Callithrix jacchus: one gene and its partner. The protein of the gene in region 2 interacts with the protein of the main gene of each other region in a biochemical or structural test. Links are inferred from orthologs where the notes say so. Each region holds a gene or a part of one and is shown on either strand. Other genes may lie near its edges.

Region 1 (4,109 bases), on a different chromosome or scaffold from region 2:
CATCAGAAAAAGAGCCCGCGCATTCGCCTGCCAATGCCTTGTCGGTCGTAGAGGACGTTGAACTTGTTCACAAACTGGTTCATGGTGTTGCACGTTTTAGTGATGGTGCCGAGGTAGGCCATGAGCCCCACATCATTGCATTGCTGGGAGGGAACATAAAGGACCAGTTCTTCAGGGGATCTCTTGTGGCATGCCCAGGGAACAACAGTCCCCAGTCCTGCATGTGAAAGTGACAGCATAAGCCCCACCTCCCCATCTGGGTTTTACACTCACATCATAAAAGTCTGTCTTGAACTTGTCTGTGCTGAGCACTGGGAGGCAATGACACAGAGCATAGGCCTCCCGCAGGATCTCATGATTAAAGGGGACCTCTCCTAAAGGCACAAAAAGAGGCTGCATTAATTTGGATGCTGTCACTTCCCCAGAAGGGAGAGGAAGAACCCCAGGGAAGTGTCAGGGAAGCCCTTGACCTACCTGCTTCAGAGGCCTTGACGTACTCCAAGATGAGCTTGACGCGGCTGTGCAGCATCTTGATGGCACTGTGCTGTGCTATCAGGTGTTCAGCCACTGCAAGGGGATGGAGACAGGAGGAGGTTGGGACAGGATGTGGCCACACATTCCACCCCCACTTCCAAGGAATCCCCTCCGTTACCGGTGGAGTTCTCTCCACTGCCTGTTGCTGTCATTCGGGCCACGTGGTCTACACCAATGCGTTCCGCTTCCTCTGTGGCCAGAGTGTAGGTCAGCTCAGCAAACAGCATTGTGGCCTACAGGGCAAGGTAACCCACAAAGGGAGAATCAAAAGCAGGAAAGAGGACAAGAGCAGGATGTGAGGGTTGAAGGGTAGGGTTTTACCTCTCCGTTGATTATATCAATGACAGACTCAAAAACGCTGACAGGAAGCTGTGGAGGAGATGGAGAAACCTGAATACTATCTGCCAACATTGGGGCTAGTCGATTTCACACATTTCCTCTCAGCTAATTTTCCCTAGAAACCAATGAAGTAGGGATTACCTCATTTCACACAGTTTGGAGATTAAATGACTAAGCCAGAGTCACAGCAGATAAGTGGCATTTGGCATTCCCCAATACACCGTCACACAACAAAAGGTACAGCAACAATTATGACACAGTAGGCATGGGATATTACTTACATCTGTGTGCTTGGTCATAGGGTTCAACTTCAGAAAGAGGGGGCTCTCAATGATCTCACACACCTGAATGAGAGGGACGATGCACAGGAAGTCAGTGCCCCCCTTTCTCCTTCCCCTCATCCCCCATTCTCTGCTTCAGCATGCACAGGTGTGAGATGTATACCTGCTTGTGGACGTGGATGTCCGAGGGGTCAGGTGGCCCCCCTGTGGTATACCAACCCAGAAATTCCAGCTCCTTGAACACCTGTTTAACTGAAGGGGAAGGGACCAAAACACATAGTAATTATTATTATTATTTTGAGACAGAGTTGTTCTGTTGCCCAGGCTGGAGTGCAGTGGCGCAATCTTGGCTCACCACGACCTCCGCTTCCCAGGTTCAAGCGATTCTCCTGCCTCGGCCTCCTGAGTAGCTGGGACTACAGATGCACATCACCACATGCGGCTAATTTTTGTATTTTTAGTAGAGATGGGGTTTCACTATGTTGGCCAGGCTAGTCTTAAACTTCTGACCTCATAATCTGCCTGTCTCGGTCTCCCAAAGTGCTAGGATTACAGGCGTGAGCCACCGTCCATGCCCAGCCTGACATAGTAATACTTTAAGCCATCTTTCCTCTGTGTGAAGCTCCTGGTGTATTTTCACCAGCTTCTCTCCCCGCTCCTCAAATCCTGGCTCAGTTTAGAGTAATTACTCCCTTCTATCCTGTCTTTTATCCTTTACTTTCTTTTTGGGAAAGAACTCTTAATGTGTTCTTTTTCTGAGATCTCTCCAGCAATTCTCTTAACCTTTTCTTCTCTGTTCTTGGCCTCCTCTCCTGTTTATTTCCAACCTTCTCCATCTTCCCCACCCTGTACTTTTTTTTTTAACTCCCACTCCTCTTCCCCACGTCTATTCCGCTCACACTGCTCTTCCTTGGTGTAATAATATTCCTTGTCAATGATAATCTTCTCTTCCACCGTGTGGGACAGCAGCTCAAAGGAGTTCATCACCTCGATATTTCGGCCCTCCTGCTTCCCAATCAGAGCCCCAATCACTAGGAAAGAGAATGACATGGAAAAGGTGAGGGTAAGGAAACTTCTATCACCTAAGGGTCTGAGGTCAGTGGGAGCCAAGTACTGGGGAAACGATGACTTGAGGGAGGGGGAACTGGCTCCAGTAAAAAAAGGGAAAGACGACTGGGGGAGGTAAGCAAGGAGAGGAGACTGGAGGCTATGCCCAACACTCACCCTGCACAGGCCGCCCCTCCTGGGAGCGCATGCGGATCCAGTGGTCTGAGATGTTGAGAATGACAAGGGGATGGAGAGCGACGGATACACTCCCAGTCACTCCGGAGGCCATCACGCTGGGGACTACTAAGGGTGGAGGGAAAGTAGAGAGGGTGAGAGTCCGGGCCCCACGTCCTTCCCTGGAGACGGCAGTGGGGGACGACGGAGCCCGGCCACACTTCCCTCCCGCAACTTATCCCAGGGAAAGATGTTGCTGTTCCGCCCTCCTCCCTTCTTCTGGGAGCACAGGGAGGCCTCAACGCACCCCTGAAGGAGGTCTCTGGAAGCCACCCCCACACAGCCCGTTACCTGCTGCATCCACCTCCATCCCGCTGCTCCCTCCGGTCCCGTTCGCAGCTGCAGCTGCCGCCGCCATTTTCCTCGCGCCCGCCGGCCTCGGCCCCGCCCCCTTCCTTCCCGGCTTCCGTAAGGTGAGAGGCGCATGTTCAGTGTCCCCGCGGCGCGCGGCGGGCCAGGAGTCCCAGGAGTAGGTAGTTCACTGGCTTGGTTGACGGTTTTCTGGCTAAGGGATCCCGACGCCCTCGCGGGTTTTCGCAGACCTTGTCCCCTCCTGACGCCTGCGGGTAACGTTTGACAAATTACTTAACGGCTTGATAGTCCTCATCTGTAAAATTGAGATAAGAATGCCTAGTTCTTTTTTTTTTTTTTTTTTTGAGACGGAGTCTCACTCTGTTGCCCAGGCTGGAATGCAGTGGCGCGATCTCAGCTCACTGCAACCTCCGCCTGCCGGGTTCAAGCAGTTCTCCTGTCTTAGCCTCGCTAGTAGCTGGGACTACAGGCGCACACCACCACGTCTGGCTAATCTTTGGTATTTTTAGTAGAGACTGGGTTTCACCGTGTTAGCCAGGATGGCCTCTCTCTCGTGACCTCGTGATCCCCGCCTCGGCCTCCCAAAGTGCTGAGATTACAGGCGTGAGCCACCGGGCTTAGCCAAAAACGCTTAGTTCTTAAGGCTGTTGCAGAATGAATGAAATGTCGTGTTACTGCCCTCACAGTAAAATCCAAACAACCGACCACACTCTGCAAGGCCCTGCCTGAACTGCCCTGGCCTGACCTCTACTTTTCTAGCCCTTGATATTCACGCTTCAGCGGCACTGGCCCTCATGTCTGGTTTTGTTGTTTGTTTGAGACAGGATCTCACTCCATCTTCCAGGCCGGAGTGCAATGGTCTCATCTCAGCTCATTGCAGCCTCAGACTCCTGGGCTCAAGTGATCCTCCCACCTCAGCCTCCCAAGTAGTTCGGACTACAGGTGCGCCCCACCACACCCAGCTGATTTTATTATTATTTATTTATTTATTTTGAGACGGAGTTTCACTGTTACCCAGACTGAAGTGCAATGGCACAGTCTCGGCCCACCACAACCTCCGCCTCCTGGGTTCAGGCAATTCTCCTGCCTCAGCCTCCTGAGGTACTCCTGAGTACCTGGGATTACAGGCACGCGCCACCATGCCCAGCTAATTTTTAAAGTATTTTTAGTAGAGACGGGGTTTCACCATGTTGACCAGGATGGTCTCGATCTCTTGACCTCCTGATCCACCCACCTCGGCCTCCCAAAGTGCTGGGATTACAAGCTTGAGCCACTGCGCCCGGCCGTGTTTTTAGTAGAGATGTTTCACCTTGTTGACCAGCATGGTCTCGATCTCTTGACCTCGTGATCCACCTGCCTCGG
Region 2 (2,852 bases):
TCCATTACTACTGTTTTTTTTTTTTTTTTTGAGATGGAGTCTCACTCTGTCACTCAGGCTGGAGTGCATGATCTCAGCTCACTGCAACCTCCACCTCCAGGTTCAAGTGATTCTCCTGCCTCAGCCTCCCTAGTAGCTGGGATTACAGGTATGCACTACTATGCCCAGCAAATTTTTTTGTATTTTTAGTAGAGACGGGGTTTCACCATGTTGGCCAAGCTGATCTCAAACTCCTGACCTCAAGTGATCTACCCGTCTTGGCCTCCAAAAGTGTTGGGATTACAGGCGTGAGCCACTGTGCCTGGCCATAGTCATTACTTCTGACTATGGATGCTGAGATATGAAGCAACGTGTCCGAAGTCATACAGCCCAGGATCTAGGCCTCAGGCAGAGACGCAGCAAATAGTATCCAGTTCTCTTCATCTTCCAGCACTGTGCTTTAGAGTAAACTGGGAATGAGTCTTCTTCCCATCCGCAAATATCAAAGACAGAAGATACCCAGTTCAGGGTAGTTTGTAGATAGACTTTTCATAGATTTATTTCTGTGTCATGTTATATATAGATATATGCATATATACCTTTTTTTTTTTTAAATACAATCTATATACCCTTCCCTTCCCCACCAAACTCACAAAAGGAGATTAAACCCTTCCAGGACTGCCATCAAGCTTCCCGAGATGGCCAGGGCCAAGAAGGAACCATCTCTCAACATGTTAAGAAATAGCTGCCATTCTTAGGCTCTGGGTTCTGAAGCCGCAGCATTCCCAGGACCCAAAGGGCAGAGAGAGAAAAATAAATGACTGTAGCGTGACAGGATTTTCGGATGAACGTGTCCAGTGACTCTGGGAATGCCACACTGGGCCCCAGAATTCTCAGAATGCGAGTAAAGGTGGGGGCCCTATGGCTCTTCAGAGGCTGCTCAATGCAGGGGTGGTGGGTAAGGTGTAGGAATTTGCGATCAGGCATGCAGGGATGGGGTGGGAGAAAAAAAACGCCTGTGGGTTATGCTTGAGACAGAGCAAACCCCATCAAGGTTACCCACCTACTCGATGACATGTCATGAACAGGGACAGATGTTGAGCTCTTAAGGAAATGTCGGAGAAATAGGGGAGAGAGCATGGCAGCAGGAAGCAACGGAACACAGGAGGTCACAAAAACAAAAAGTACCAACAAAAACATGACCTGCACTTGCCTCCTCCCTAGAAGAAGGTGTGATCTATGTTTGGGGTTGGGGAGGTGATGGGTCATGAACCTAGGATTATCAGCTGGCCAGGGGCACAGGAAGGCTCTCTGAGGACTCCTAAGAGGCAGACAGGCAGCTGGGACCCCACATCCCCAGGGAGGAAACGACAGTCCCTTCAATTCGACTTGGACCAAATCTTGGCGCTCCCTCGGAGCCTGGCAAGAAGAGAAAGAGAGAGAGAATGCAGGGAATCCCCTCTGAAGGCTCCCCCGACTCCCTACTCCCATGCAAATAACTGAAGGAAGTGAAGACAGTCAGGTCCCTGGGGTAAAAGCAGGGCACTCCAGAAGTGAGCAGTACCTGCTACCCTGGCTCACCCCTTGCCCTTTGAGGCTTTCTTGCTGGGCTGGCGCTGGTTGGTGCCAGGAGCTGGTTCCCTCAGCTCAGTCAGATGTTGCTCAGGGTCCTGAGATGTGGCTGCGGCTGCTGCTGCTGTTGTAACTTTAATGGTTTTTTTAAGGTTGGCAACCTACCAGGATGAAAGGAATGGGGATAGCAAGGAAGGTTCCAGAAACTTCCAGACCCTGCTTATTTTGTTGTCTGCTACAACCACTGTCCAAATCCTCTCTGCAAAGGAGAAGTGGCCCAGGCTGGAGGAGCCTGGGTCCACCTGCTCCCTGACTGCTCACCTCACTCTCAATCTGCTGCTTCAGGCCCAGCTGCTGCTCCTTGTGCTGGTTGGCACGGCTCACCTGCTCCTCAATGCCTGACAGCACAACCTCACAGCCCACACACCTGCGGGAGTCAGGGGAGAAGAAAAGTTTCAGCAGACAAGATCTACGATCATAGACTCACAGAAAACAGATTCAAAAAGAACCCTAGATGCAGGGCGCAGTGGCTCACCCCCGTAATCCCAGCATTTTGGAAGGCCGAGACGGGCAGACTGCTTAAACTCAGGAGTTCAAGACCAGCCTGAGCAATATGGCAAAACTCCATCTCTACAAAAAAAATACAAAAACTAGCCAGATGCAGTGGCACAAGCCTGTAGTCCCAAGCTACTCAAGAGGCTGAGGTGGAAGGATGGCTTGAGTCCAGGAGGTGGAGGCTGCAGTGAGTCAAGATCATGCTGCTGCACTCCAACCTGGGCAACGGAGCCAGAACACAGCTTCTGGCATTTTGAGTCTGAGTTGGGAACCCTCACCAGGGCACCTAGAAACCATCTGTGACAATGATCCTAGCAGTGAGATGGACCCTCAGTATGGTCAGAGAGGGATAAGGAAGTGCCTGGAGTGATGTGCAAGATGGTGGTAGGAACTGAAAACAAATAGGGTAGGAGATGTTAAAGAGAAAAAGAGGTGACTTAATGAATACAGAAACCCTGAAGTTAGATAGACACAAAATAAAAGAGAGGAGGAAAAGGCCCATGGCCTGTGGACAATGGTAATTGTAGACCAACTGCTGGAATCTAGCCTAAGGCAACAACCTTAGTGGTTAGGATCCCCTCAAGTGTACCACTCACTCCCTTTCCATCCCTGAATTACTATATCAAGGACACTGACTTCTGCCGCCTCCCAGGACCTCCCTACTCCTGCATTCCCCAGAAGCCTTTGAACTCATTTTCCTTCATCCCCCTCAGTTCTACCTCTGCAGACCAGCCCAGCTCTTGCCC

What was found.
Region 1: the proteins of COPS7A (region 2) and COPS6 form a complex in vitro, tested with the Homo sapiens proteins (3 studies listed by BioGRID, with this or other methods). The link is inferred for Callithrix jacchus from reciprocal best matches to the Homo sapiens genes COPS7A and COPS6.

The regions. Positions count from the first base shown.
Region 1 is NC_133503.1:13,493,168-13,497,276, forward strand, and holds the start of COPS6 (COP9 signalosome complex subunit 6), read right to left. Parts: upstream 2,807-4,109; 5' UTR 2,794-2,806; coding exon 2,727-2,793; intron 2,505-2,726; coding exon 2,379-2,504; intron 2,186-2,378; coding exon 2,054-2,185; intron 1,407-2,053; coding exon 1,318-1,406; intron 1,218-1,317; coding exon 1,155-1,217; intron 904-1,154; coding exon 856-903; intron 768-855; coding exon 653-767; intron 568-652; coding exon 475-567; intron 375-474; coding exon 274-374; intron 144-273; coding exon 3-143; 3' UTR 1-2. UniProt on the Homo sapiens protein: Component of the COP9 signalosome complex (CSN), a complex involved in various cellular and developmental processes.
Region 2 is NC_133510.1:20,922,466-20,925,317, reverse strand, and holds the end of COPS7A (COP9 signalosome complex subunit 7a), read right to left. Parts: intron 1,979-2,852; coding exon 1,873-1,978; intron 1,713-1,872; coding exon 1,561-1,712; coding exon of another isoform or gene 1,557-1,560; exon of another isoform or gene 1,544-1,556; intron 1,399-1,543; coding exon 1,359-1,398; 3' UTR 513-1,358; downstream 1-512.